4 linked regions of the Anolis sagrei genome follow. The protein of the gene in region 3 binds, or shares a complex with, the protein of the main gene of each other region. Links are inferred from orthologs where the notes say so. Each region holds a gene or a part of one and is shown on either strand. Other genes may lie near its edges. The genes, in order: RBM48, SNIP1, CRNKL1 and CRIPT.

Evidence for each region.
Region 1: CRNKL1 (region 3) and RBM48 share a complex: the UniProt entries of both Homo sapiens proteins name them as parts of the minor spliceosome. The link is inferred for Anolis sagrei from reciprocal best matches to the Homo sapiens genes CRNKL1 and RBM48.
Region 2: CRNKL1 (region 3) and SNIP1 share a complex: the UniProt entries of both Homo sapiens proteins name them as parts of the minor spliceosome. The link is inferred for Anolis sagrei from reciprocal best matches to the Homo sapiens genes CRNKL1 and SNIP1.
Region 4: CRNKL1 (region 3) and CRIPT share a complex: the UniProt entries of both Homo sapiens proteins name them as parts of the minor spliceosome. The link is inferred for Anolis sagrei from reciprocal best matches to the Homo sapiens genes CRNKL1 and CRIPT.

Annotation. Positions count from the first base shown.
Region 1 is NC_090026.1:102,564,782-102,572,547, forward strand, and holds the start of RBM48 (RNA-binding protein 48), read right to left. Parts: upstream 3,012-7,766; 5' UTR 2,983-3,011; coding exon 2,863-2,982; intron 1-2,862. Other genes in the region: peroxisomal ATPase PEX1, read left to right, coding at 3,347-3,466, 6,571-6,714. UniProt on the Homo sapiens protein: As a component of the minor spliceosome, involved in the splicing of U12-type introns in pre-mRNAs.
Region 2 is NC_090034.1:86,233,629-86,241,459, forward strand, and holds the start of SNIP1 (smad nuclear-interacting protein 1), read right to left. Parts: upstream 3,008-7,831; 5' UTR 2,916-3,007; coding exon 2,757-2,915; intron 1-2,756. Other genes in the region: DNALI1 (axonemal dynein light intermediate polypeptide 1), read left to right, coding at 3,147-3,227, 7,253-7,443, 7,554-7,723. UniProt on the Homo sapiens protein: Required for pre-mRNA splicing as component of the spliceosome. As a component of the minor spliceosome, involved in the splicing of U12-type introns in pre-mRNAs. Down-regulates NF-kappa-B signaling by competing with RELA for CREBBP/EP300 binding.
Region 3 is NC_090024.1:139,014,223-139,021,364, reverse strand, and holds the start of CRNKL1 (crooked neck-like protein 1), read left to right. Parts: upstream 1-4,121; 5' UTR 4,122-4,176; coding exon 4,177-4,224; intron 4,225-4,660; coding exon 4,661-4,813; intron 4,814-5,597; coding exon 5,598-5,689; intron 5,690-5,797; coding exon 5,798-5,956; intron 5,957-6,106; coding exon 6,107-6,273; intron 6,274-7,142. Other genes in the region: CFAP61 (cilia- and flagella-associated protein 61), read right to left, coding at 1,485-1,635, 1,731-1,885. UniProt on the Homo sapiens protein: Involved in pre-mRNA splicing process. As a component of the minor spliceosome, involved in the splicing of U12-type introns in pre-mRNAs.
Region 4 is NC_090021.1:26,646,293-26,653,325, forward strand, and holds the start of CRIPT (cysteine-rich PDZ-binding protein), read right to left. Parts: upstream 3,004-7,033; 5' UTR 2,901-3,003; coding exon 2,885-2,900; intron 1,030-2,884; coding exon 964-1,029; intron 1-963. UniProt on the Homo sapiens protein: As a component of the minor spliceosome, involved in the splicing of U12-type introns in pre-mRNAs. Involved in the cytoskeletal anchoring of DLG4 in excitatory synapses.

The sequences.
Region 1 (7,766 bases), on a different chromosome or scaffold from region 3:
ACTACATTATTTAGCACCAAGATTACACTTTAATTGTAATACTTATACCCTATGAAACCCAATCCTGCGGGGAGGCTTCTCCCATGTCTCATGGCCTTGTGCTTTGCTGCTGAATATGCATGCCCAGTGTGGAATATATCACACCACGTTAAAACAGTAGATGTGGCTCTTAATGAAACGTGCTGCATTATCACAGGACGCCTACACCCAGAACTGCTGGAGAAATTACACTGCTTAGCTGGTACTTTACCATCTCGTATCTGCTGGGAAGTAGCAGCCAGTAATGAAAGGACCAAGGCAGTGACATCTCCAGCTCATCCTCTGTTCAGATATCAACTAGCACGCCAACGCTAAATCAAGGAAAATTTTTAAGATCTACAGAGATACTTGCAGGAACACTTCAGCAATCAAGAGTCCAAAAGTGGCAGGCTAAGATCCAGAATCTCAAGCCTCCGCTGATACCCAATGAGAGACTTCACCCCTGGGCACACAGAAGATTAGGCAACCTGGAAGGCACTGAACAGACTGCGCTCTGGCACGAGGTGCAGAGCCAACCTTAAGAGATGGGGCTACAAAGTGGAGTTCATGACATGCGAGTGCGGAGAAGAGCAAAGCACAGACCATGTATTACAATGCAGCCTGAGTCCTGCCCCACGCACAAAGGAGGATCTTTTTACAGCAACACTAGAGGTACTCCAAGTGGCCAGCTACTGGTCAAAGGACATTTAGTATTGAAGGAGGAATAAGTATAAGAAAACTATTAAGTTGCTAAATGCTCAGCTATATAGGAAATTGGTTTGCGGTTTGGCGCGACACCGAAGTCTGCAAGTAGAGAACAAATTGTGGTTTTGACAGCCTAACACCTTGAGAACAACAGGAAACCAGGCAAAGTGCACAAACCTATGTTTTGAACTATTGATAGGAGAGAGACTAAGAGGAGCAGAAGTAAAGACACCTTTTTGTTTGTTTGTTTGTCATGTCAGGAGCGACTTGAGAAACTGCAAGTCACTTCTGGTGTGAGAGAATTGGCCGTCTGCAAGGACGTTGCCCAGGGGACGCCCAGATGATTTGATGTTTTTATCCTCCTTGTGGGAGGCTTCTCTCATGTCCCTGCATGAGGAGCTGGAGCCGACAGAGGGAGCTCATCTGCCTCTCCCTGGATTCGAACCTGCGACCTGTCGGTCTTCAGTCCTGCCGGCACAGGGGTTTAACCCACTGCGCCACCGGGTAACTTTCCATGACAAAAATACTCTTGTTTACCAGACTATATAAAAGCTTTGCTTTTGTCAAGGAGGCGCGGCAGTCCTTATGAAGTGTGGGCGCCTGCGCGTGTCCTACACGACTGTCCGACTCCTTCATGATCATGAAAGAATAAAACTTTGCTTTTGATCTTCCTCCTGGGACTGCCTCTTTCCTTGCGCCTCCCGTGGCCTAGACCTTAGTATTAAGTCCCAAATTAGGGTCTCTAACAGTATAATGCCAAGTTTTTTAACTCTTCTGTTGTTTTTTTAATTACATTACAGCTGTACCCTCGGTTTGCTTTTGATATGATAAATAAATATCCTAGTTCCAACAGACCTCACAACCTCTGAGGATGCTTGCCATAGATGCAGGCGAAACATCAGGAGGGAATGCTTCTAGAACATGGCCATATAGCCGGAAAAAACCAACAACAACCCAGTGATTCCACCCATGAAAACTTTCAACAATAAATATCATATAGTGTGATACAGCTCACAGCTAGTCACCAAAACACAGATAGCACTGAATCCTAATGCTAAGGTGAAGACGGTGGACATGATTCATACCCAGACCTAAGACCAGGCATGGGCAAACTTTTGGGCAGCCTCCTTCCTAGCCTGGCATCTTGTTGCCATGGCAACAGGAAGGGCCTAGCAGTTATCCTTGCCTTCTCGTAGTGACCTTTCGTTTCCCACTTATAGCAACTCTTTAGAAGACCTGGGCAAACTTTGGCCCTGTGGGTATTTTGGAGTCCAACTCCCACAGTTCCTAAAGCCTCAGGCCCTTTCCTATAGTGTCTAGATCCAGTGAAGTAATGCTATTCTCCCTTGGTCAGACAACATCTGGAACACTGTGTCCAGTTCTGGGAGATATTGAAGAGAGATATTAACAACCTGGAATGTGTCCAGAGGAGGGCGACTAAAATGATCAAGGTTCTGGAGAACAAGCCCTATGAGGAGTGGCTTAAAGAGCTGGGCATGTTTAGCCTTAAGAAGAGAAGGCTGAGAGGAGACATGATAGCCATGTATAAATATGTGAGATGAAGTCATAGGGAGGAGGAAGCGAACTTGTTTTCTGCTGCCCTGGAGACTAGGACGCGGAACAATGGCTTCAAGCTACAAGAAAGGAGATTCCATCTGAACATGAGGAAGAACTTCCTGACTGTGAGAGCCGTTCAGCAGTGGAACTCTCTGCCCCAGAGTGTGGTGGAGGCTCCTTCTTTGGAAGCTTTTAAACAGAGGCTAGATGGCCATCTGTCGGGGGTGCTTTGAATGCAATATTCCTGCTTCTTGGCAGGGGGTTGGACTGGATGGCCCAGGAGGCCTCTTCCAACTCTATGATTCTAACTTGGGAAGGCCAGGGATTAGTAAACACTACATTTAGAAATTAGGGGCGCAAGCATACTGCAGAGATATAACAGTTTGACACCGCTTTAACCCCCATGGCTTAGTGCTACAGAATTCTGGGGTTTGTAGTCTTGTGTGAGAGATAAAATTCAATTCTAGTGCCAACTACAACTCCCATGATCCCATCGCCTTGAGCCATGCCAACGAAAGCGGTGCCAAACCGCTCCAATGCTTCGGTGTGGCTGTGCTGCGCGTAGAATGGATGGCGTTTCACCTTCACAGCGCGGGGACGGCGCCCCTCGCGATACTTGGCCCGCGAAGCGCAGATGCCCAGCTGCGCGTGGTGCTGGTGGGCGCCCCCGACTTCACCGCCTCTGCTCTTCTCAGTCGCCATTTTTTCCCTCCGACCCGCTCATGCTCCGGCTTCTTCCGCCCGTCAACAACAACCAATCCAGTGATGAGCTTGCGTTGATCCCGCCCCAGAGGCGAGCGGTATTGGAGGAAAGGATTAGATGGGGGGGTGAAGCGCCCCAGCCAATCACAAGCGAGGAACGGGAGGCAAGTTGTAAACATCATTCTGTCACAGACCACCAATCGGATGGCCCGCTTTCATTGGCTCCTCCCCCGGAGCGGAGCAAAGCCAATCACAAGCGACGGGCTGGAAGGAGTCCTCTGGATGTCATTGGCCTGAGCGGAGAAGCCGGAAGAGGAGCTCGGCGGCCCACTCGTGTGACACCCAGCCCGCCTTGGAGGCCGCCATGTGGGGGGCGGGCGGGCCTGGGGTGGCCGCCGCCGCCGCCACTGTCTCCTTGAGCGGCGCCCGGGACTGCTTCCTGCACCTGCCGCCTGGCTTGGCTTCCAGCCTCCGTCTGCAGCAGGTACAGGAGGGCAGGGACGGGGAGGCTGCATCCGGGACTTCGCTTTCCGTGTCCCTGAGGTGACATCCGGGCCTCTCTTTTGGGCAGCCTCCTTCCTAGCCTGGCATCTCGTTGCCTGGCAACAGGAAAGGCCTAGCCGTGGTCCTTGCCTCCTCGTAGTGAGCTTTGGTTTCCTATTTATAGCAACTCTTTAGCAGGCTTGGGCCAACTTGGGCCCTTGGGTGTTTTGGACTTCAACTCCCACCATTCCTAACAGCCTCAGGCCCTTTCCTTTCCCCCCTCAGCCGCTAACCCCAAGGGCCCAAGTTGGCCCAGGCCCGCCTTAAGAGTATTCTACGTTCATGCTTTACTAGTTGTACTGTCATAAGAAATTCAATGTGCAGATTTGACAAATATGAATTTAATATGATGTGTGGGAATGAATGGAAGGATGTATGGAGTTAATAATTTTGGAAATACCAGTAAAAGACCCAGGCCTGCAATGACTAACTACTTGCTTGCTGGACTTGCTAGTGAGAAACCCTGATAAGAACTGGGACATTGATAAAGGAAATGTTTGCAATCTTCCTTATGTTAAGAAGGAATTCAACACAAGCCCTGTGGTTGCCATCGCCAATCAAGAAGAGTCAACATCTGGCCAGGAAACTGAGATGGATCCAGGATGGAAGACATCTATCATTAATTTACAACTTTGGGACTACATCAACAGAATATTCCTACAAAAGACTCAGTCTAATAATGATCAAATTGTGACCAACCTGACGAATCTGGTTCACCCGCTGTGCTCTGCTCCATGGGAAGGAGAGAGATAGTGAACCAATGGATAGTGGCAGATTTGAACGGGAGCAGTCTGGTCACTTTGGGGCTTCTTTCTCAAGGGAAGAGGAAGAAGTGTGCTTTTGGAGTCTTAGGTTTTGTGCAGGGAGGCAGGTTCTGCTGTATTGAAAACAGAGATCTGGTTCTTGGCATTGTTCTTAGGAAAAGACGTTTTGGTGTTATTTATTATTTATTTGCTTTATTTTTATACCGCATTTTTCAGCCTAAATCGGCGACTCAATGCGGTTATGGAACTATGTATTGGCAGGCTGCAGGAAAGCAGGGTCTGGCCTAACAGGTGCTTCTCCAAGGAGGGAGAAAATTATATGGTAATATTTGGGTGCATGAGGATGAATGTGTGTGCATGTGGTGTGAATGCTGAGTGAAAATGTAATTCCCTTTGTTTGTTAGCCATGTAGTTATGAATCCAATGTAGTTGCATAGAATCTGTATGTCTAATGTCATTCTTTGTCTAAATGTTTTTCTGTAATCTGATATACCTTCTTACACTGGAAATTGCAATAAAAAGAACCTATGCTTCAAAGTTATTGAAAAGTCATTCATGACAGTACTGCACAGAGCAATGCAATTCTCTAACATTTCCAAAAACAGGCCACACTAGTTCTATAATATTGTTATTATTTCAGTGTAAAGTCATAGAATCATAGAGTTGGAAGAGACCTCATGGGCCACCCAGTCCACCCCCCTGCCCCCCAACAGATGGCTATCCAGTCTCTGCTTGAAAGTCTTCAAAGAAGGTGCCTCCACCACACTCTGGGGCAGAGAGTTCCACTGCTGAACAGCTCTCACAGTCAGAAAGGTCTTCCTAATGTTCAGGTGGAATCTCCTTTCCGCCATTGTTCCACATCCTAGTCTACAGGACAGCGGAAAACAAGCTTGCTCCCTCCTCCCTATGACTTCCCTCACTTATTTATACATGGTCATCATGTCACCTCTTAGCCTTCTCTTCTGAAGGCTAAACATGCCCAGCTCTTTAAGCCACTCCTCATAGGGTTTGTTCTTTAGACCCTTGATAATTTTAGTCGCCCTCCTCTTAGTCCAAAACAAAGGATCATGAAGTGAGATGGTTTTCTGCTCCCAATCCCACAACAAAGTTTCAAGTGCACTGTTGCAACCAAACTAACCAATAGTAGTTTATGATCCCTAAAATTTTAGAGACTGGAAGAATTTAAAAATGTCCCTTGGTGCCTATGGACTGCATGAGAGTGAGAAAAGAGGGGCAGCGTTTCACTGTCTCATTTATTTATTTATTTATTTACGGTGAAAGCTGTTCAGCAGTGGAACTCTCTGCCCCGGAGTGTCATGGTGGTTTCTTCTTTGGAGGCTTTTAAACAGGCTGGATGGCCATCTGTCGGGGGTTCTTTGAATGCTATTTTCCTGCTTCTTGGCAGGGGGTTGGGCTGGATGACCCACGAGGTCTCTTCCAACACTGTGACTTTATGATTCTATGATTTGTATACTGCCCTTCTCAGCCCGAAAGTGACTCAAGGCGGTTTGCAGTCGGCAATAATTCGATGCCCCACCAGACGTAAAATACAGTTAAAAACATTTAGCATATAATATAAAAACCATATAAAAGCAATAAAAACATAAATCATCAGCATCTTCTTACTAAAGTCATTTTCCAGTCCCATCGTCAAGTCATTCCATAGTTCCATATTTGCCTGTTACGCTGCATCTGGGAAAGCAATATACAAGTAAAATATCACAATTAAAACAGCAAAGAAAACACTTATGGGGGATCTTTTTGACAGAAAGAATCTGCAAGGAAAAGGTTCAGAGAAAACAAGGAAGCAGAAACTCTTCTGAAACATTAACATCTGGGAAATGTTAATACTCTATAGATAATAATAATAATAATAATAATAATAATAATAAAAGTAATAACTCCATCGCCCTGAAGGGACTCGAGGCAGTGCACAAGGGGACATGCCCACCAAAACAGGTTAGAACAAGCATATAAATATAATCATCAACAACAGCAAAAACAAATAAAAACATCATAATCAAACAACATCATGGCTGAACAACAAATGATGGGTTCGGACTAATGATTCCTAAGTGCAACAAATTCCTACATAGAGCCAAGGGAAAGTGTGACAATCTGAGCGTGGAGCTAGGAGGCTAATGCCCTTACGATAAGCATTCATAGACTCAAGTTACAAAAGTACTGTATCTGTAGCCACTTGTTGATGTCAGACAAAGAATAATGAGTGATGCATGCTGTTACTCCCTCTCCTTTCTCTCATTTTAAATGGAATTAACAGGATCAAGCTGTGAAAACTTCCTGGGACAATCAGACTGTGTTCCTGGGCTGGACAGAAATCAGGCATTGTCGTCAGTGTAGTGGCAACATTGTTGAAATAAACAGACAGCTAGCAGAGAAACTTGGCATCAAAGATGGACAACAGGTTTGAAATTTAGAATATTACAAGAATAAAATTGTTGTTGTTGTTGTTGTTGTTGTTGTTGTGATTTAGAATCCTGATTGTGCCATTGCATGTGGATTTTGTTAATTTTAAATGTTACCGCCCATTTGCCTCCTAGTGGAAATTCCCTTTTAAGGACATTGTGTATCCCATCTAAGGAAATGTACAGAACTATGCCATTCATTGTAGCGCTTGTTCTATTACTATGTGATTGTGTACTAATTCAGTTTCTACCAGGAAGAAGTCAGAGGTGTCTAACCAGCAGGGGGAGTGTTTGCCCTATATGAGCAAAAGTGACTACATTCCCCTCTCCTCACCTTTATAGGTACACTAGCTGTGCCCTGCCACGCGTTGCTGTGGCCTATAGTAAAACTTATCAAAGTTGAGGTAGATATCTGGACTATTATGAAAGAGAGGTCCCTACCTATTCCTTCCCCCTTTTCCTCCCCCTTTCTCTCCTTTCTTCCTTCTCTACCTCTTTCTTTCTTTCCTTCTTTCACTACTTGGTTTCATCCTTCTCTCTTTCCTTCATTCCCTCCCCCTTTCTTCCTTTGCCTTTCTTCCCTCCCTGTTTGCTTCCTTCTTTCACTTTTTATTTCCTTTTATTTCACCACCATCATAACAATAACAATAATGCAATGCATTGCCTCCGGGACCTGACACCTCTCCCATTCCCCCTAAAAGGGTCTCAGAGGAACAATAGCATAATAATAATAATAATAGAAATAACAACCTTGACCCACCACGTGTTGCTGTGGCCAATCTTCCCTCTTTCTCTCCTTCTTTACCTCCCTCCCTCCCTCCCTCCCTCCCTCCCTCCCTCCCTCCCTCCTTCCTTCCTTCCTTCCTTCCTTCCTTCCTTCCCATCTTTCCTTCTCCTCTTCTTTCTCTTATCTCTTTCCTTCCCCCTTTTTCTTTCTCTTCTGCTGTCTCTCTTTTCTTTCCTTCCATCTTTCCTTTTCTTTCCTTTTCTTCTTCCTCTAACTTTCCTTCCTTCCCCCTTTTTCTTTACCTCCCTTTCTCTTTCTTCCTTC
Region 2 (7,831 bases), on a different chromosome or scaffold from region 3:
ACAACAAAATTGTGTTATGCTAATAATATCATACATTGTATGTACATATAATATTAATGGTATTATAATGTAGTACAATATTATACAAATAATACTACAATATAATTACATATTTAATAGTACATGAAATATTCCTCACAATATTACAGTATAGTGGTATAGTACAATACAGTGACAGATAATACCAATATTGTGCTATGCTAATATAATATATTGCATGTGCACATTATACTGATAATATTACAATGTAATTTATTTTAAACGTCGTTGTGTTATTGTTAATGTTTATTGCTATTTTCTGTTAATGAGTTTTATTTATTGTTTGTATTACTGTTGCTATTGTTTTTATTGTTGTATTGTGGGCTCGGCCTCATGTAAGCCGCATCGAGTCCCTTGGGGAGATGGTAGCGGGGTACAAATAAAGTTTTTATTATTATTATTATTGTTATTTATTTCTCGCATTTTTATCCCGTCCTTCTCAACTCCTGAAGGAGGACTCAGAACGGCTTACAATGGGCCCCATTACGAAGCCATTACATAACAAATTACAGTAATTAAAACCACAATTAAACGTAAGAGCATAATTAACAATACATAAGCCATCATTAAAACAATAAGGCAGTCTCATCAGCCATATCGTCATTCCAGTCACATTCCTTTAAAGTGCTGCTTGCATCTATTGTCCAAAAGCCTGGTCCCAAAACCATGCCTTTAATTTCTTTTGAACAGCTAGGAGGGAGGTGGCCAATCTTACCTCAGTTGGGAATATGTTCCATAGGTGGGGGGCCACCACCGAGAAGGCCTTGTCTCTCGTCCCTGCCAGGGGCATTTGTGCTGTTGACAGGAGCGAGAACAGGGCCTCCCTGGATGATCTTAGGTTACAAGGTGGGAAGTAGGGGTGGATGCGTTTGGACAAGTAAGCTGGGCCAGAACCATATAGAGCTTTATAGGTCAGAACCAGTATTTTGAATTGGGCTTGGAGATGGACCAGCAGCCGTATTATTATATGTAGTAATAATAATAATAATAATAAACTTTTATTTATACCCCGCTACCATCTCCCAAAGGACTCGGTGCGGCTTACAATAGGCCGAGACCAATACAACAATATTGTAATACAATATACTACTGCCAATAATACAATATAATTACATATTTTATATTACGTGTAATTTTATAGTGGCCCCGCGACTCTGGAACTCTCTCCCTCTGGAGGCCAGAACCGCCCCATCCATCCTAACATTTAGGAAACGGGTGAAGACGTGGCTGTGGAGTCAGGCCTTCAATGAATGAGGCAACACCATAGGACCCTGGCTGGAAGTTGATGTAGATCCATCTTAATAGGACGACTGACCACTGTAGTTTTATATATTGTGTTTTTAAAGTTGTTTTTGTAATTGTGATATATGATATTTTAATGAGTGTAGATGTTTTTTATGGCTGGAAACCGGGCTGAGTCCCTCAATGAGGTTGAGAAGCTCGGTATAGAAAACTGTGAAATAAATAAATAAATAAATTATAGTATAGTGGTATAGTACAATATAGTAATGTATAATACTAATAATAATAATAATAATAATAATAATAATCTCAGTTCTTGTGGGTTTTTTCGGGCTATATGGCCATGTTCTAGAGGCATTTCTCCTGACGTTTCGCCTGCATCTATGGCAAGCATCCTCAGAGGTGAGGTCTGGAGCTGGGAAAAAAGGGGTTTATATATCTGTGGAATGACCAGGGTGAGACAAAGGGCTTTTGTAAATTGGGCTAGGTGTGAATCTTTCAAACGACCACCTTGATTAGCATACAATGGGCTGACTGTGCCTGGAGCAAACTCTTCTTAAAGGGTGATTAGATGTCCCTGCCTATTTTTCTCTCTGCTGTTTTTACTGTTGCAATTTTAGAAATTTTTTTTTAGAATTTTTTTTTTTTTTTAGATTCACACCTAGCCCAACTTACAAAAGCCCTTTGTCTCACCCTGGTCATTCCACAGATATATAAACCCCTTTTTTCTCAGCTCCAACAGACCTCACTTCTGAGGATGCTTGCCATAGATGCAGGCGAAACGTCAGGAGAAATGCCTCTAGAACATGGCCATATAGCCCGAAAAAACCCACAAGAACTGAGTGATTCCGGCCATGAAAGCCTTCGACAATAATAATAAACTTTATTTGTACCCCGCTACCATCTCCCCTGGTGGCGCAGTGGGTTAAAGCCCTGTGCCGGCAGGACTGAAGACCGACAGGTCGCAGGTTCGAATCAGGGGAGAGGCGGATGAGCTCCCTCTATCAGCTCCAGCTCCTCATGCGGGGACATGAGAGAAGCCTCCCACAAGGTTGATAAAACATCAAATCATCCGGGCGTCCCCTGGGCAATGTCCTTGCAGACGGCCAATTCTCTCACACCAGAAGCGACTTGCAGTTTCTCAAGTCTCTCCTGACACGACAAAAAAAAAAAAACATCTCCCCAAGGGACCTGATGCGGCTTACATGAGGCCAAGCCCAAAGTACATCAAACAAAACAATAAACACAACATCAATAAACAATCAATAAAATGCAAATCATATAAATCACATAAACAAAAAAAACCCCTAATATTGTGTTGTGCTAATAATATAATATATTGTATGTACATGTAACTTGTAAGCCGCTCTGAGTCCCCTTCAGGATGAGAAGGGTGAACAACACCACCACCAAATACAGTCAGAGGCTCCGGCCTGCCCGCCGCCCAGAAAGGCCCAGGCGGGGCCGCCTCGTACCTGCTTGACTCTGACGAGGCTTCGGCGGGGGCTCCGGCTCCTTTTCTTCCGCTTCTCCTTCGGCGGAGAGCGACTCCCTCCTCCTTCTCTTCCCTCTCCGGACGGGCTCCGCTTCCGGTGGTGGCGGCGTCGACGACGGCGGTCGGCCTCCTCCTCCATGGCGACTGTTGTGAAAGCGCCGGGCTCCTCTTTGCCTTTCTCTCACTCTCAGATTCCGGTTCCGGCTCTCAGAAGTGATGCGCATGCGCCCTTTTCCCCTTCGTGAGGCCGGCTCACGGCGGTGACGTCAGGACGTGCGCCACGGCAATGCCCTCCTGAGCTCGAAGATCGCCATGGCAACCGCGGCACAACAGGCCCGACGGGTGAGGGCACAACAGGCCCGCCGCCACCATGATTCCCCCGGCGGACTCGCTGCTCCGCTATGACACGCCGGTGCTGGTGAGCCGCAACACCGAGAAGCGCTCGCCCAAGGTCAGTAGGCCCCGGAAAAAGGGAAGGAGGAAGTGGAAGGGAAGAGGGAGGCTAAGCTAGGATAGGAAGGAAGAAAAGGAGGAAGGGAGGGGGGGACAAAAGGGAACAATATAATATAGTGTATATACATATAATATTTATAATATTATAATGTAATACAATATAATACTACTAATAATAATCTATATATATATAAATGCTCTGTGCATAATGAGTTCCTTAAAAACAAAAGAACCAATGAACGAAATCACACCAAATTTGGCAACAAAACTTCTCACAACACAAGGAGTGACCATCACTCAAAAAATTATGATTTTGTCATTTGGGAGTTGTAGTTCCTGGGATTTATAGTTCAACTACAATCAAAGAGCATTCTGAACTCCATCAACGATGGAATTGAACCACACTTGGCACACAGGACTCCCTTGACCAACGGAAAATACTGGAAGGGTTTGGTGGGCATTGACCTTGAGTTGGGGGGTTGTAGTTCACCTACATCCAGAGACCACTGTGGACTCAAACAATGATGGATCTGGACCAAACTTGGCACAAACACACAATATGCCCAAATATGAACACAGATGGAGTTTGGGGGAAATAGACCTTGACATTTGGGAGTTGTAGTTACTGGGATTTATAGTTCACCTACAATCAAAGAGCATTCTGAACTCCATCAACGATGGAATTGAACCAAGCTTGGCACACAGAACTCCCATGACCAACGGAAAATACTGGAAGGGTTTGGTGGGCATTGACCTTGAGTTGGGGGGTTGTAGTTCACCTACATCCAGAGACCACTGTGGACTCAAACAATGATGGATCTGGACCAAACTTGGCACAAGCTCTCAATATGTCCAAATATGAACACAGATGGAGTTTGGGGGAAATAGACCTTGACATTTGGGAGTTGTAGTTACTGGGATTTATAGTTCACCTACAATCAAAGGGCATTCTGAACCCCACAAATGACAGAATCGGGGCAAACTTGCCACACAGAATCCCCATGACCAACAGAAAATACTTAAGGCCATCCAATCCAACTCCCTTCATCAGGGCAAGAAAACGTAATCAAAGTCCTCCTGACAAAGAGCCATCCAGCCATAGATAAATAGATAGATAGATATGATTCACACACAGAGATATAGTATCATAGATTTGAAAGGGACCCAAAAGAAGGACTGTGATATGTTGTATGTTCCAGAGTAGGCAAACCAGACAATCTCGACATCAACACTGACAAAGAAACAACAAGAAATACTGTTTACCCACAAGCAGAAAGACATTACATATATTAGAAACCAAAACTTTCTCATTCCCTTTATTTTCCAGATCAACAGACTGGGCCAAAGCGACGCGTGGCAGGGGACAGTTACTTATAATGGGTTGTTGTAGGTTTTTTTGGGCTGTATGGCCATGGTCTAGAGGCATTCTCTCCTGACGTTTTGCCTGCATCTATGGCAAGCATCCTCAGAGGTAGTGAGGTCTCAACAAAAGATTGCTCCAGGCACTGTCAGGCCATTATATGCTAATCAAGGTGGTCAGTTGAAACATTCCCACCTAGTTCCAGCAGACAAGAGTTTTTTGTCTCACCCTGGTCATTCCACAGATATATAAACCCTTTTTCCTAGTTCCAACAGACCTCACTACCTCTGAGGATGCTTGCCATAGATGCAGGCGAAACGCCAGGAGAGAATGCCTCTAGACCATGGCCATACATCCCAAAAAATCCTACAACAACCCAGTGATTCCGGCCATGAAAGCCTTCGACAATACATTACTAATAATGGTATAGTACAATATAGTAATACAGGGTTAGTCAAAATGCATAGGCCAATAAGCCATTCAATTGAATGGCTTATTGGCCTATGCATTTTGACTAACCCTGTATATAATACCTATATTGTACTATGCTAATACTATAATGTATGTATGTATATTAGGCTTGGGCGGTTTCGTTCGTTAATTTCGTAATTCGTTATTAATTCGTATTTAAATTAGCTTACGATCCAATATTGAGCCATGCAGGACTACTGTGAGGAGTAATTAAAAATCGAAACAATTTTTCCAATTTATTTCGTATTGTTTCGTAATTGTTTCGTAATTGGTTCAAAATTGTTTCGAAATTGTTTCGTAATTATTTCCATATGTCTGGTGCAAGTTTTATAGTTGTTTGTTTTATCAGTGATAAAAAATAAATTATCACACCAACAGTCAACAACAGAGGGAGAGGGAAGCTTCAGAAGTTCCCCCTGTCCCATTTGGAGGGTTTTTTAGCATATTGCGCAATCGCGTCCGCCATTAACGATTCGTAATTTTACGAAATTTCGTATATTTTGAACTTTTTTAAAGTAAAATTTCGGAATTCTTTAAAAAAAACGAAACGCAAGGGCCCCCCTAAAAACGAAACGAGTTTAGAACCAAATTTTTCTGTGGTTACCCAAGCCTAATGTGTGTGTGTGTGTGTGTGTGTGTGTGTGTGTGTGTGTGTATAGATCTATCTTGTAAGGCGCTCTGAGTCCCCTTCGGGTGAGAAGGGCGGCATATAAATGTCATAAATAAATAAATCACTTAATAAGATAGGAAGGAAGGAAAGAGAAAGGGAATAATAATATTAAGGGAAGGGGGAAGAAAGGAAATGAGTAAGGATGGATTGATGGATGGTATTAAGGAAGGAGAAGAAAGGGAGGGAAGGTTCATGAATAGGGAAGGAGGGAAGACAGAAAATGAAGGAGAGGTAATAATAATAAAGGAGAAAACAAGGGAAGGGAAAAGGAAGAAAGAAAGGAGGAGAAAGAATGGGAAAGGATTATAGTAAGGAAACAAAGGGATATTGGAGGAAAGAAGGGAGGGAAGGAAGATGGATGGATGGTATGAAGGAAGGAAAAGAAAGGGAGGGAAGGGGAGAAATGGGAAGGAAGACATAAAGGAGGGAGGGAATAATAAGGAGGAAAAGAAGGGAAGGAAAAGAGGGAAAGGGGGAGAAAAAGATTCTTCTCCCCCCCCCCCCTTTTCCCTTTTCCCTCCCAGGGAATGGAAAGAGAATAGAGAGAAGGGGGATAATAAGGGGGCGGGGAAGAAAAGGAAGGAAACGGAATAAGGAAGGAGAATGGATGGATGGTGCGAAGAAAGGGGAAGAGAAGAATAGAAGTGGTCGGCAAAGGTTGTCCTCTCTCGCTAACTCTGCCATGGTTACTACAAAGGAGGAGTTGGAAGAAGGGTTACTTCTCCCACCTCCAAATTGGGCTTTAATAGGGTGGCGGGTTAAATCGCTGAGCTGCTGAACTTGCTGATCTCAAGATTCGCAGTTCACATCCAGAGAATGAGATGAGCTCCCGCTGTTAGCCCTAACTTCTGTCAACCTAGCAGTTAGAAAATATGCAAATGTGAGTAGATCAATAGGTACCACTCCAGTGGCAAGGTAACAACGCTCTATTTAGTCATGCCGGCCACATGACCTTGGAGGTGTTTATAGAAAACACCAGCTCTTTGGCTTAGAAATGAGCACCACCCTCCAGAGCCAGACACAACTAGACTTAATGTCAAGGGGAAAACTTTACTTTATCTTTAGGGAGCAAAAGCAGGTGCAGCCAAAGATCAAAGAAGCAGTCACTGCTTCAGAACAGAATAAACAGCAACCCAAGTGGACAATGAAAGTCTTACCACTCTCAAGTGGGAGCACTTGAGAAACCTGCATAAATAGCTGAGGTCTGGAATATTTAGCTGTGGGTAGCAACATCAGTTCATTGGTTCTCAGTAGCAGCCTTGAGCATCATATGTCTTGTGCCTTGAACCCTTGAAAGATTGACTGTACTTTGGAAGTTAGTGTGCGGAATATGTTTTAGCTTGCAGCCTTGGTATTGGTGAGACAATTTGGCTTTGAACATTTTGGAAAGGACTTTGGACTACTCGTGTATCTCAGCCTTCATTGAATGACCTCAGACTGCTTTGGATTACAATACAGTGTGTGGCTGTTTAATAGTAATTTGGTGGACAGGACTGTCTCTGTTTCTCTGCCTGCCCCTTAGGCCCATCCGCTGAAGGCCACTGCTCCGATTCCACCACCACCACCTCCTGCGCCTCCACTCCCGACGCCGCCCCCCTCCGCCCAAGGCCCCGCTCCACCGCCGATCCCACCTCCAAAGGGCAAGCCCCCTGCCCCATCCCTTGAGGCCGGGAAACACGCTGATGAGATCCTCAACGCCATCCTCCCGCCACGGTGAGCCAGCACTGGGGCCCCTTGGGAGCCTGGGCGGAGGAGGGGAGAGGCAGAAGGACTGCCTACCAGGGACTGACCCACTGGCTCTTCACCCCACTCCACCCCGGCAGAGAATGGGCAGAGGGGAACCAGCTGTGGACGCAGCAGGTGTCCAGTACGCCCAGCACCCGTATGGACGTGGTCCACCTCCAGGAACAGCTGGACCTCAAGCTGCAGCAACGCCAGGCCCGCGAGACCGGCATCTGCCCCGTCCGCAGGGAGCTCTACTCCCAGTGCTTTGGTAAGGAGGTGGCAGGGAGGGAAAGGGGGAAAGTGGTGGGGCTAAGATCTGAAAAGTGGATTTTACAAGAAATTTAAGAATAGGTTAAAGAGAGGGGAGTAGAGAATG
Region 3 (7,142 bases):
AATATTTCTGAAGTCTAAAATCAGCACATTGACCTATATTTTCTCTAGAACATTAAAGAAATAAGATAAGAAGAAACTCTTGCTCTGACTCGTCAAGAGAAAGAGTGCCATGTTTGGACATCATGTTAAACAAATAAACAACAGGAAGCCCATGCTATGTTGAACTGCTCCTTCTTGCAATGGGACGAACCTTGTCTCTGACAGTTTGGGTACTTTTTAAAGATGTAGAATTGGAAACCACCCAGTGCACCAAGAGAGTTCTCTTTATTTATTTATTTATTTATTTACTTACTTATTTATTGCATTTATATACTGCTTTTCTCACCCCTGGGGAGACTCAAAGGAAAGGCAGGATTCAGTGCCAACATATATACAAAACCAAAGCATGCTAACTAAAACAATAGCATATAACTATACATTAAACAAAATATTTGCAGAAATATTTAAAAACTATTCAAGAAATTATTTCAAAAATATTGATTTAAATATTTGCACAAATATTCATTGAAATAATCACAAAAGGATGCAGAAATATTCACAAAAATATTCACAGAAATGATCATAAAATATATACAAAATATTGTCAGAAATATTCACTGAAATAATCACAAAAATATTGTCAGAAATATTCATTAACATAGCCACAAAAAGAGTTATAGAATTCGTAACATATTTGCAGAAATATTCACAAAATGTTCAACAAATTATTTCAAAAAATAATCATAAAAATATTCCCAGGAATTATTCACAAAAAATATTCACAAAATATGTTCAGAAAAATATATGCTGAAATATTTGGGAAAAATATTCTCAGAAATAATCAAAATACTCACAAATATATTTTCAGAAAAAAAATCCTAAAAATATTTGCAGAAATATTCATTAAAATGTTTGCTGAAATAATCATAAAAATATTCCCAAAAATGTATTCATAAAATATTTGCCTTCAGGCCTTGGGTTTGGGGAGGCAGGGGAGGAAGGGAGGAAGAATAGAAGGAAGGAAGGGCCCTTTAATATTATTATTATTATTATTATTTCCATTATTTTTGTGATTATTTTTCACCCTTTTATTCTTCTGTGATTTTCCCATGGGGACTTCAGAATTCTTAACCATGAGATTTGAGGTTGCACATCACTAGTTTTGATGAGTTTGTCGTAAAATGTGGTGTGAAAGCAATATTCTCATAAAAGCTTTGCAGAATTTTTTTTGGCCTAAAGCTAAGAGCGTTCATTTCTACTTGCCTTAAAGTCAGATTACTAAACACAAGCAATATTCCATCCCCTGACAGTAACAGCATTCAAGAATGCATTGTGCAAGGCAACAGCAATGACATTAAATGGAAATAAAAGACTTTCCTACATTTAGCCACTTGGATAAGACTATTAAATGTTATAAGCTGGACTTGAACTAATTTCTCAACACAAATACATAATAATGAAAAATATTAAGATTACATCATTCAAGAAAAATGCTCCCTACATACCGTACACCTAACATTATCATAATTTTCTTCTAAGTATGATTCCCAGTGAGCCTCATCAACAAAATCCCAATTGGGGTAGTCCACAAATGCAGCATGAGCAACAGGTATATTCTTCTCATTAATCACAGTCACTGCAAGGTTGGCTTTTTCTCTGTAAAACAAATGTTTAGATTTCATTGATGGAACAAGTAAAAATAAATTACAGGATTTTTAATTAGGATAAATAGTTACCATTGTGTTACTTACAAAAGATAAATAACATTGACTCTGCCAAAAAGTCTTTCTGTATCATATTTCATGTGACCAACAATATTAGGAATATCATGGGATTCTGTTCTTCTGGCACTGAGTGTGACAGTAGATTGAATAGACGATGATGTTAGACGTAATAATGAAGTCATATTCTAAACTGCAACACAAAGAGGAAAAATGCTTCTTCAGACAAATGAGTTATAGCCCAGGACAAAACTGAAAATAATGACAAAAATGTAGAAGTAATTTAAAATGACACCAATTTTTGCAGTATGGTCCTATGTATAAAACTGATTGGCTAAAATTATATGCACTTTCACATAACTTCTTTTACTATTACAAAATGAACCCAACTTATTAGATCAGGCAATGTGTGATTTATGCTTACACTTCAGGTTTCTAATAAATATGCATGGGACATTAATGACTTTCTACAATTGGTTTCCAGTTTTTCCAACCATACAAAAACAGTTGATATGTTATCAGCTATCACGGACATTGCAGTTTTGTAAGGAATGTCACTTTCTTCAATCCCTAGATTCCTCTATGACAGGAATTTAGGGTTAGCTGTTGAACTAGTTGTGCAGTTCAGTTGTACACATACTTGCATGACAGAAGTGTGCAGTGGGCCATGTTCTAGAGGCATTCTCTCCTGATGTTTTGCCTGCATCTATGGCAAGCATCCTCAGAGGTAGTGAGGTCTGATGGAACTAGCAAAAAGGGTTTATATATCTGTGGAATGACCAGAGTGGGACAAAGGACTCTTTTCTGCTGGAGCTAGGTGTGATTGTTTCAACTTACCACCTTGATTAGCATTTGATGGCCTGGCAGTGCCTGGGGCAATCTTTTGTTGAGAGGTGATTAGATGTCCCAGATTGCTTCCTCTCTGTTGTTTTGCTGTTTTAATTTTTGAGGTTTTTTAATACTGGTAGCCAGATTTTGTTCATTTTCATGGTTTCCTCCTTTCTGTTGAAATTGTCCACATGCTTGTGGATTTCAATGGCTTCTCTGTGTAGTCTGACATGGTGGTTGTGAGAGTGGTCCAGCATTTCTGTGTTCTCAAACAATATGCTGTGTCCAGGTTGGTTCATCAGGTGCTCTGCTATGGCTGATTTCTCTGGTTGAAGTAGTCTGCAGTGCCTTTCATGTTCCTTGATCTGTGTTTGGGCGCTGTGTTTGGTGGTCCCTATGTTGACTTGTCCACACCTGCATGGTACATGGTAGACTTCTGCAGAAGTGAGAGGATCCCTCTTGTCCTTTGCTGAACATAGCATTTGTTGGATTTTCAAACAACAGTCAGGCCAACAAATGCTAATCAAGGTGGTCAGTTGAAACATTCACACCTGGCTCCAACAGACAAGCAGGCCTGAAGCGAGGGGGTGGTTTTAGGGGTTCAACCCCCCCCCCCCCGAAATGTTTCAGATTTTTTTAAAAAACCTGGGTTACTCATGAATTTTAACTGGTTAACCAAATCCCCATGCTGTCTATGAGATGCAAAAAATTAAGAGTCCCTCCAGAACTGCAAGCACTATCTCAAGCAAATATTGACAATTTATTCACACTGTCATTACTTGCAGCAATAGCTGATGTAGTGAAGCAACCAAGTTGGGGGTGTGCATGTTGAATGCTCTCATTAAGGAGGCCAGACTTGGTGGAGGTGGTTGACAGGGGCGGAGCTGCAGGCTATTGAAGGCTGCTCTGCCCTCTGCTGTGCTCTTTGCTTCAGCGTGAGCTAGGAGGCAGGTTTCAACCCTCCCCACGGCCGAAAATTTCAAACCCCCCCCTGAAAATTTCAACCCCTCCTGAAATTTTTTTCTGGCTACGGCCCTGCAGACAAGAGTCCTTTGTCCCATCCTGGTCATTCCACAGATATGTAAACCCATTTTCCTAGTTCCAACAGACCTCACTACCTCTGAGGATGCTTGCCATAGATGCAGGAGAAACGTCAGGAGAAAATGCCTCTAGAACATGGCCATATAGCCCGAAAAAACCTACAACAACCCAGTGATTCCGGCCATGAAAGCTTTCGACAATACAAGGCCTAACCATCTTGTTCAATGGGCAGGGATTCTAGGGGCCCTTCCACACAGCCCTATATCCCAGAATATCAAGGCAGAAAATCCCGCAATATCTGCTTTGAACTGCGTTATCTGAGTCCACACTTAGATAAAGTGGGGTTTTGTGCCTTGATATTCTGGGATATAGGGCTGTGTGGAAGAGCCTTGAGTGTGGGCTGAGATAACCCACTTCAAAGCATCCCGCAGGACTCACCTTTCAGCAAGGGAGGCCTCTCAATGTGCTGCTGGGCTTCGAGCTCTGAATCAGGACCGCGGCGCGTGCCCGTTGCCAAGGCGACGGAGAGGTCGAGCTTGCCGGCCGCGCGGAATGATGGGAAGCGGAGGCGGAGCTTAGTAGAGACTTCGTCGGAAGCGCTGCGAAAATGGCGTCTACGGCGGCCGGGAAGCAGCGGATCCCCAAAGTAGCCAAGGTGAGGGCGCGAAGCAATGGCAGGGTCACTTATTTCTGTGTGCTTCTCTTCGGGGTTCAGTCCCCTCGGGACTTGACTTCGGAACAGAAAAGGAGTCAGCTTGGGCTGAGGGGGATAGTCGAGGGGGGGAAAGTGGCAGGGAAAGTGGGAGGCCGCGCTCTTCTGGGAGAGAGGGGCCTTTTCGCAGCACTCGGTTGAGCAGGGCCAGCTACTAAGGTTGCATCCAAAATGAAAAGAACTATTGTTTTAATAGTAACTAACCGTCCCCTTCCACGCGTTGCTGTGGCCCAATCTGTGTATATGTGTTTTGTGTGTGTATATATTTGTGAATATGTGTATATATGTGGTTTTGTGCATGTGTTGTAATGTAAATATGGGCTAAATTTCAATATTTCCATATGATTTGTTAACTTTTGCTGATCCCATACCTCCACAGGTAAAGAACAAAGCCCCTGCAGAAGTACAGATCACAGCAGAGCAGCTCTTAAGAGAAGCAAAGGAGAGAGAGCTTGAGCTACTCCCCCCACCCCCTCAACAGAAGATCACAGATGAAGAAGAACTAAATGATTATAAACTTCGCAAAAGAAAAGTAAGTAAATATTATGATCTACTGGTGTTGTGATAGCATTTATTTAAGCTTATATCACAGTTACTTAAAATACACATTATTTAAAATACACATTAACCTGTAAAGCAAAGCTCCTGGAGAATATGATTGGATGTAAAGAAAGTGAAATCTTGAAGTTTTGCACTATCCTAGGTCCGGTCTTCTTTATACCCTGATCATGCCCATCTTAGAATTTTGGTTATTGGTTTTTGTTGTGTATTGTTTGAGTGAGTTTTAATGCTGCTGTTTTATACCCTTATGTTTTATTTAATTGTGTTTTAGTTTATTGTTATGCTTTGCTATGTTTTATTTTAATTGTGGTTTTTGTTTTAATGGATTGTTTTGTTTTGATGTTCTGTGGACATTTTGTCCCATGTGCAAGCCGCCCCAAGTTCTTTAAGGGAGATGGAGGCGGGGCATAAAAATAAAGTTGTTGTTATTATTATTATTATCATTATCATCATCATCATCTTAAATAGCATCCTTGTAGCTGCTCATGAATATTATCGTAAGGCTATCATGAGCTTGGCACTTCACTGCAGGAAAGGACTGTTGACCTCGTTTCTGATTCTGAAAATTATTAATCTGAATCATGTCCTTAGAGGTATTCTGTTTTTGTTTATTCTGCTTAATACTTGTTTGAATACTTCTCTATGGGGAATAGAAAAGCACTAAACATAGTCTGTGTTGACATATTGTGTAGTGAAGTAGAGTTATTGTTGCTCTAAAAATAATTTTAGAAATTTGCCCCATGCTTTTTCTATAGACTTTTGAAGATAACATAAGAAAAAATCGGACAGTTATTAGCAACTGGATCAAGTACGCACAATGGGAGGAAAGCCTCAAAGAAATACAAAGGTAACTATTTCCCTTTGGGCATCATTTGCTGCATAAATAACCAATAGTGGTCATTACCTTAAGATTGGAATTTCAAATGCATTAATTTCAACCCTGTTTTGCTGTCAGGGCTCGTTCCATCTACGAGCGTGCTCTAGATGTGGACTACCGAAATGTCACCCTTTGGCTAAAGTATGCGGAGATGGAAATGAAGAACCGCCAAGTCAATCATTCTCGAAATATTTGGGACCGTGCCATCACAACTTTACCAAGAGTCAATCAGTTCTGGTAAGCTAAGCATGTTTGGTGCTTTTCAAACAGTAGTAAACTGAAATAAATATTCCTGTGAAAATGTATTTTTGCTGTATTTTTGTGTAAAATCACTTCATTAATTAGATGACAGAACTGCCCTTTCTTATGTTGCTTTTACTTGCATAGGTACAAATATACTTACATGGAAGAGATGTTGGGAAACATTGCTGGGACCCGCCAGGTGTTTGAACGCTGGATGGAGTGGCAGCCAGAGGAACAAGCTTGGCATTCCTTCATTAACTTTGAGCTTAGATACAAGGAGGTGGACAGAGCACGGGCTATTTATGAAAGATATATCCTTTTCAGTGTATTCCAGTGTCAACTTCATGATTTGTTCATATTTTTTCTTCCAATAACACTATATAACATGATTTTTGTTCCTGAATTATAAATGTTATTTCCTAATTGGTTCTATCATAAAAACATGGAAAAGGTTTGTTAAACAGCAAAAACTTTGTTTTTGTGGGACATCCTGCAACATATTTTTCTATAGTAGTAGTAGTAGTAGTAGTAATAATAATAATAATAATTTATTTGTAGTTTTTCAATGATTATCTGATAAGAATCTCAATGAGAAATAGATTTTTTTCCAAACTGGATTACATAGTATAATAAAATCTGCCTATTTGATAGTGTAGGAGACAGAAAATTAGCTATTTTAAAATATATCTTTATTGAAATCTTTCTATAACATGATTTAAAATATCAGAAAAGTAAAGAAAAGACAAGAAAAAGGTGGAGATAGAAGAGACAAGAGGAAAAAAAACTAGTGAAATATACCTTAAATTAAAAATAACAAAAAAATGAAAAAGAGAAATGTATCTTCTTGACTTCCAGAGTATCTTCTGTGAGGTGTCCTCCTTTTCCTTCTTCCTTACTTTTTCTCTCTTTTTTTCTTCCTTCATCATTCCATCTCCCCTTCATTCATTTGAGGTTGATTTTTAATTTCTATATTAACATCTTATATTTCTTTTCTTTTAGATATTCTGTAACTTTCTTCCAATTTGTCTCTTATTGGTTTACCTTTGTTTTGGTTTTTTTGATATCAAACAGAAAATTAGCTATTAAGGAGAAAAATATGAGCTGTGTCTCCTTGACTTCCCTTCCTTGCTTTCTTAAAAACCAACAAACAGTACAGTATTGTTTTTCATAATTCAGTCAG
Region 4 (7,033 bases), on a different chromosome or scaffold from region 3:
TTTGATCATTCCCACATTACCCAGTTAAAAAGTTTCTTAAGCAAGCTGCATCAGTACTTAGCTGTTTTGAGTCTCCTTGTGGAGAGAAAAAGCAGGGTATAAACCAGGAGTCCTCAAACTAAGGCCCGAGGGCCGGATACGGCCCTCCAAGGTCATTTACCCAGCCTTCGCTCAGGGTCAACCTAAGTTTGAATTTATTTGAAAGCACACAACAATGACAATCCTATCTCATCAGCCAAAAGCAGGCCCACGCTTCCCATTGAAATACTAATAAGTTTATATTTGTTAACATTGTTCTTCATTTTAATTATTGTATTGTTTTAAAGTGTTTTTTGCACGACGAATAAGATATGTGCAGTGTGCATAGGAATCCATTCATGTTTTTTTCAAATTATAATCCGGCCCTCCAACAGTTTGAGGGACTGTGACCTGGCCCTCGGTTTAAAAAGTTTGAGGACCCCTAGTATAAACAAACATAATAATAAGCTATCAAGGATACACACAATGTGATTCAAACAGACATAAAAGCAATCAAGGACTGATGTATGCCCATAAGGATTCTACAAAATATGGTGATTGTGTAATATGCAATCACTAAACAACTGAAGAGAAAATTAATATTAGAAAGCAATTTTATTTTGAACTGAGTTTTAGTAACTTTCAAAAAGATAGTCAGCCAGACACATAAACTCCTTACTGAGACTATGGCCTCATCTACACTGCTATATAATGCAGTTTGAAATTGGATTATATGTCAGTATAAACTCACATAATGCAGTGCAATGAAGTTAAACCGCATTATATGAGCTGATCAGTGTAGGGTCTGAGGTTTTCAAGCTTTTCTCTTTCTCTGAACTAATATTTAATTTTCTAGCCATATTCATCTCAACAGAAAAATAAGAGACTGTCTTAAATGAACACCAGGAACACATATCTATGTAGTGACACATGTTTTGGAACTACCTGTTGTGTTTCTTGCGCCATCTTTCCATGTATCAGGTGTAATGACAGTACCCAGTTTTCTCTCACCTATTGAAAAGTGCAAAAATACAAAGCAAAGATTGTGACACTCTGAACAGTTTTATAATGAAAACACATCAGAAATGTTGTTTACCCCCCTGGCGATACTAGTAAAACAAAGTAGTTCATTCTTTCAATTCTAGTATCATACGATGCTATAATGGGATGTGAAGGATGCATAGCATGAGTGTTACTCATATTTACTCAAAAGGAAATATTATTCAGATTAGTGAATGTACTGCCAAGTTATTATACATAAGATTGCAATTCCAAACGGACTTACTTAGGAGAATACAGTCAAACATATAAAGCCCACGTCCACCTTCCATTTCTCTTCAAGCCCCTATCCCTTGTTAATATTGTATTAACAATATGTGATATTGTTATAAGAATCTCATAATGTTTTCCTGGTTTATAATAATAATAATAATAATAATAATAATATATTTGTAACCCGCCCTTTCTCCCTGAGGGGACTCAGGGCGGTTTCCATCAAAAGTGGCAAACATTCAATGCCATAATAAAACAAACAGCAAATCAATCAGCATAATAAATAAAACATCAATATAAACTAATAAAAACTAACCAATACTACCCAAAAAGAACTTAAATAAACATAATATATCACATTACACACATTTACCAACATAATACGAGTAAAACTGAGTAGCTAAAATGCATTAAAATATGGAGTGGTTAACTGCTACCAACAGGACTGAGGGAGATTTTCAGTATCTAAATGAGAGTATACAATTAAGATATACTAATCTGCCTCCACTCCATATGCTAAAGTGCATAAATAGGTTTTTAAGGGGGGCATTTTTAGTTCTTTAGGGAGGGAGTTCCAGAGTTATGAGTTACTAAAAAAATTGTGCAAATTGGAAAAGGTTCTTTCCAAGTGTATATTCAGTGAGAAATCCTTTTGGAATGTAGGGTTTATGGTTTGTTTTATTTCATGTCAAAAGCATACCACAAATAAATAAGTATAAAACTGATAAAACAAAGAGAGCACAAGCAGTTAAATCATTGTAGATCAAAACCGGGAAACAACAACCACACTGTCTGTCGATTTAAATAGTTCTTCCGCTGTGCATGAGGCGGGGCATTGTGGGCAAGCATACAGATACGGAGTTGTTTGTTCTGCTCCACAATCGCACAAAGTGGAGGATTCTTCTAGGTAGTGCCATTTTGCCAGGTTGTCTTTTGATCTACCAACTCCGCTTCAGGTAACACTATATGATCTTCTTCTTGTTGTCCGAGTAGGATTGTCTTCCAAGATCGGTGTACTGGCTGTGGGTCTATATACGCATCTCCGTTTATGAACCCACGCGTTCTCTTCGCTCATCCGGAGAAGCCCTGCTCACGATTCCACCTGCGTCGCAGGCGCGTCTGGTGGGGATGCGAGACAGGACGTTTTCTGTGGTGGCCCCCCGACTCTGGAACACCCTCCCCAAAGATATTAGACAGGCCCCTATGTTGGCAGTCTTTAGGAAGAACTTGAAGACTTGGCTGTTCCGATGTGCCTTTCCAGAATAGGAAAACTCCAACAACATGTCCCAGAAGCACTTTATTAGACTTTAAGATTGCTTGCACACTGCACTTACCGCCCTTCTCACCCCAAAGGGGATATATCTGTTTAGTGCAGGCCTGGGCAAACCTGGGCCTTCAGGGTGTTTTGGACTTCAACTCCCAACCGGTAGGCTGTTAGGAATTCTGGGAGTTGAAGTCCAAAACACCCTGAAGGCCCAAGTTTGCGCAGGCCTGGTGTACGGGCTTGAAAACTGTCTCCATTAAGACAATAACAATAACAACACTCTATTATATAGTTCTTTCACAACTATATATCCCTGTCTTTTCCACTCACACTTTTCGCAGACCATGGCGAACCCCACTCGCGAAGCCAACAGCAGCGTCTCCGACAACAATACAATCCCTTCGCACTTCCGGCTTCCTGCCTCCGCTATTCACTTCCGCCTTCGTCGTATTGGTTGAGAACGCCTAAGGGGCGGGGAGAAGGCAGGACGCAAGGCACGTAGGGCGCGCGCAGGGCGTGGAGCGCGATGACGTCAATGGCTTCTCCTCAGTGATGGTGGTGGTTGGGAAAGGGGCTTGGAGGCGCCCTCTTGGATTCGGCCCACTAAGCCCCGCCCACTAGCAGCTGAAGGCAGACAGGTGAGCTTACCCTTTCCCCTCCACTCCCTGGAACTATAGAATTAATGTACTCTTGACACCACTTGGACTGCCCTGGCTCAGTGCTACTGAATCCTGAGAGTTGTAGGCCTTTTGAAACTACAACTCCCAGGATTCTATGGCCAGTTCAAATGGTGTCCAACTGCATACATTATACAGTCTGGAAGCACCCTCTCACTGGATTTTTATTGTAATGTAATACTACTAATAATGCAACTTGTATGCAGAACACATCATGCGATGTGCGGGGCTTAACAAATGCAAGGCTGAGGTGAAAATTGCTGGAAGAAACATTAACAACCTCAGATATGCAGATGACACCACTTTGATGGCCAAAAGCGAGGAGGAGCTGAGGAGCCTTCTAATCAAGGTGAAAGAAGAAAGTGCAAAAGCTGGGTTGCAGCTAAACATAAAAAAACCCAAGATTATGGCAACAAGAATGATTGACAACTGGGAAATAGAGGGAGTAAACGTGGAGGCCGTGACAGACTTTGTATTTCTAGGTGCAAAGATTACTTCAGACGCAGACTACAGCCAGGAAATCAGGAGACACTTACTTCTTGGGAGGAGAGCAATGACCAATCTTGATAAAATAGTGAAGAGTAGAGACATCACACTGGCAACAAAGATCCGCATAGTAAAAGCAATTGTATTCCCCGTAGTCACCTACAGATGTGAGAGCTGGACCCTATATAGCAGTGGTTCTCAACCTTCCTAATGCCGTGACCCCTTAGTACAGGTCCTCATGTTGTGGTGACCCCCAACCATAACGTTATTTTCGTTGCTACTTCATAACTGTAATTTTGATACTGTTATGAATTGTAATGTAAATATCTGATATGCAGGATGTATTTTCAGTCACTGGACCAAATTTGGCACAAATACCCGATACGCCCAAAATTTGAATACTGGTGGGGTTGGGGGTGATTGATTTTGTCATTTGGTAATGCTGGAGTTGCTGGGATTTATAGTTCACCTTAAATCAAAGAGCCTTCTGAACGCCATCAATGATGGAATTAAATCAAACATGGCACACAGAATTCCCATGACCAAGAGAAAATATTGGGAAAGTCTGGTGGACATTGACCTTGAGTTTTTGGAGTTGTAGTTCACCTATATCCAGACTGTGGACTCAAGTAATGATGGATCTGGATCAAACTTGGCACAAATACTCAATATGCCCAAATGTGAACACTGGTAGAGTTTGGAGAAAATAGACTTTGACATTTGGGAGTTGTAGTTGTTGGGATTTATAGTTCACCCACAATGAAATAACATTCTGAACCCCACCAATGATAGAATTGGACCAAACTTTCCACACAGAACCCCCATGACCAACAGAAAATACTATATTTTCTGATGGTCTTTGACGACCCCTCTGACACCCCCTCGCGACCCCCACTGGGGTCCCGACCCCCAGGTTGAGAAACACTGCTATATAGGGAAGGCTGAGCGAGGGAAGATAGACGCTTTTGAACTGTGGTGTTGGAGGAAAGTGGTGAGAGTACCTTGGACAGCGAGAAGATCCAACCAGTCCAAACTTCAAGAAATAAAGCCTGACTGCTCATTGGAGGGAAGAATAGTAGAAGCCAAGTTGAAGTACTTTGGCCACATCATGAGAAGAAAGGAAAGCTTAGAGAAGACAATTATGCTGGGGAAAATGGAAGGAAAAAGGAAGAGGGGCCGACCAAGGGATGGACGGTATCCTTGAAGTGACTGGATTGAGCTGGGGGTGGTGACGACCGAGAGGGAGCTCTGACGTGGGCTGGTCCATGAAGTCACGAAGAGTCGGAAACGACTGAATGAATGAACAACAACAAAAAAATACTACTAATATACGAGGGTTGAATGAAAAGTAATGCCTCCACCTTCATAACTCAACAGATGGTAGTCATGGTATGTGGCAGGTACTGGTTTGTTCAGTAGACCCTCCCTTGCAGTTCCATTTTGGCAGGAAGCCTTAGCATTGAACGTTAAAGTGCAAAGTATGGAACCCTGCGCAGACAGTCGGTCAATGCGACTTAAGCACCATGCAGTCATTGAATTTTTGACAGCAGAAGGTGTCACCCCCAAAATGCAAGCTGTTTATGGTGATTGTGTTGATGTGAGTACTGTGCATCGTTGGGTGAATAAGTTTAAAGACCTCACTACCTCTGAGGATGCTTGCCATAGATGCAGGTGAAACGTCAGGAGAGAATGCCTCTAGACCATGGCCATATAGCCTGAAAAAACTACAACAACCCAAGTTTAAAGATGTTGAGGTGGGAACATCTGACTTGCATGACAAAGAAAGATTTGGACGTCCTGTGACAGCAACCACCGAGTTTCACAAGCAAAAGGTTGACATGTATTGTCGAAGGCTTTCATGGCCAGAATCACTAGGTTGTTGTAAGTTTTTTAGGGCTATATGGCCATGTTCTAGAGGCATTCTCTCCTGACGTTTCGCCTGCATCTATGGCAAGCATCCTCAGAGGTAGTGAGGTGACTAGAAAAGGTTGACAGATTGATTCAGGATGATTGTCATATCACTCAGAGAAAAATTTCAAGCATAATCGGCATTTCACAAGGACGTGTGGGTCACATTATTGCTTTGCTAGGCTATCGGAAGATCTGTGCACAATGGCTACCCAGAATGAGAGAATGTGAGACGCTGGTTGCGGAAACAGAGCGTCGACTTCTTCCGTGACGGCTTCAGAAATTATGTTCATCGTTGGCAGAAATGTATCCAATTGTCTGGTGATTATGTGGAAAAGTGAATAGTGGTAGTTAAAAAGCACATTCTAAGGATTATATCTGCGTTTGATTTATTAAAATATTCCCATCCAAACACAAGTAGCGAAGGTGGAGGCATTACTTTTCATCCAACCCTTGCATTATATATAATCATAATAAAAAATGAAAATGTGTATGTGTGTATGCATATAGTACAATATAATATATGGTAATGTAAAAATTGTATATCATATATTGCATATGATATTACTAATAATATTGCGCTATAGTTGTAGTACAATAAAATAATATATAATTATTTATAAATGCAATAAATAATTAAAATACTAATATTGTGCTATGCTAATAATATAATATATTAAACAACAACAACAACAACTATATTTTATCCCACCCCATCTCCCCAGAGGGACTCAGGGCATCTTACAAGACAACAATACAAACCAGTGCAGCATAAAATATACAACAAAAATTGCAACAATACAAATGTATAACAAAAGAAATAAAAGTAAGACATAACAATTGAAATTTAACATAAATAAATTGGATCAATATATGTTGTGAATTTTATGTGCTTATTGTATTTTAGGCCATCATATCTTATATTCTTTATTGTTAGATCAAATGCTAATTTTTGATTTTTAAATTATTATTATTATTATTATTATTATTATTGGATGTTATGCCCCTATCATATTTTGTGCTGTTTTGTCGTATTTTCTTTCTTATTAGGCCAAATGTTAATTTTTGTTTTTATTATTCTTATTCTTATTCTTATTAATTGTGGGTTTTGTGTTGTTAGTATATTTTGTGTTGTCTTCTCTCATGTTCCTCATGGTAAATACTTAGGAACAGTGTTGTGATTTACTTTTTGGTTTTTAAAGTTATGATGATGATGATGATGATGATGATGGATATATACATAGGTCAAAGCATGCGGGTACTGGGTATGTATGATGGTTGGCTGGTATCATAAAAGCTCCAATGTGGCTTGGTTGACCTGAACCAAACTTGGCACACATATCTTTCATTATACAAATCATTTAGGGTTTTGAACTAAAAAAAAACTCCTTTCGGGTCTAGAGCAAAG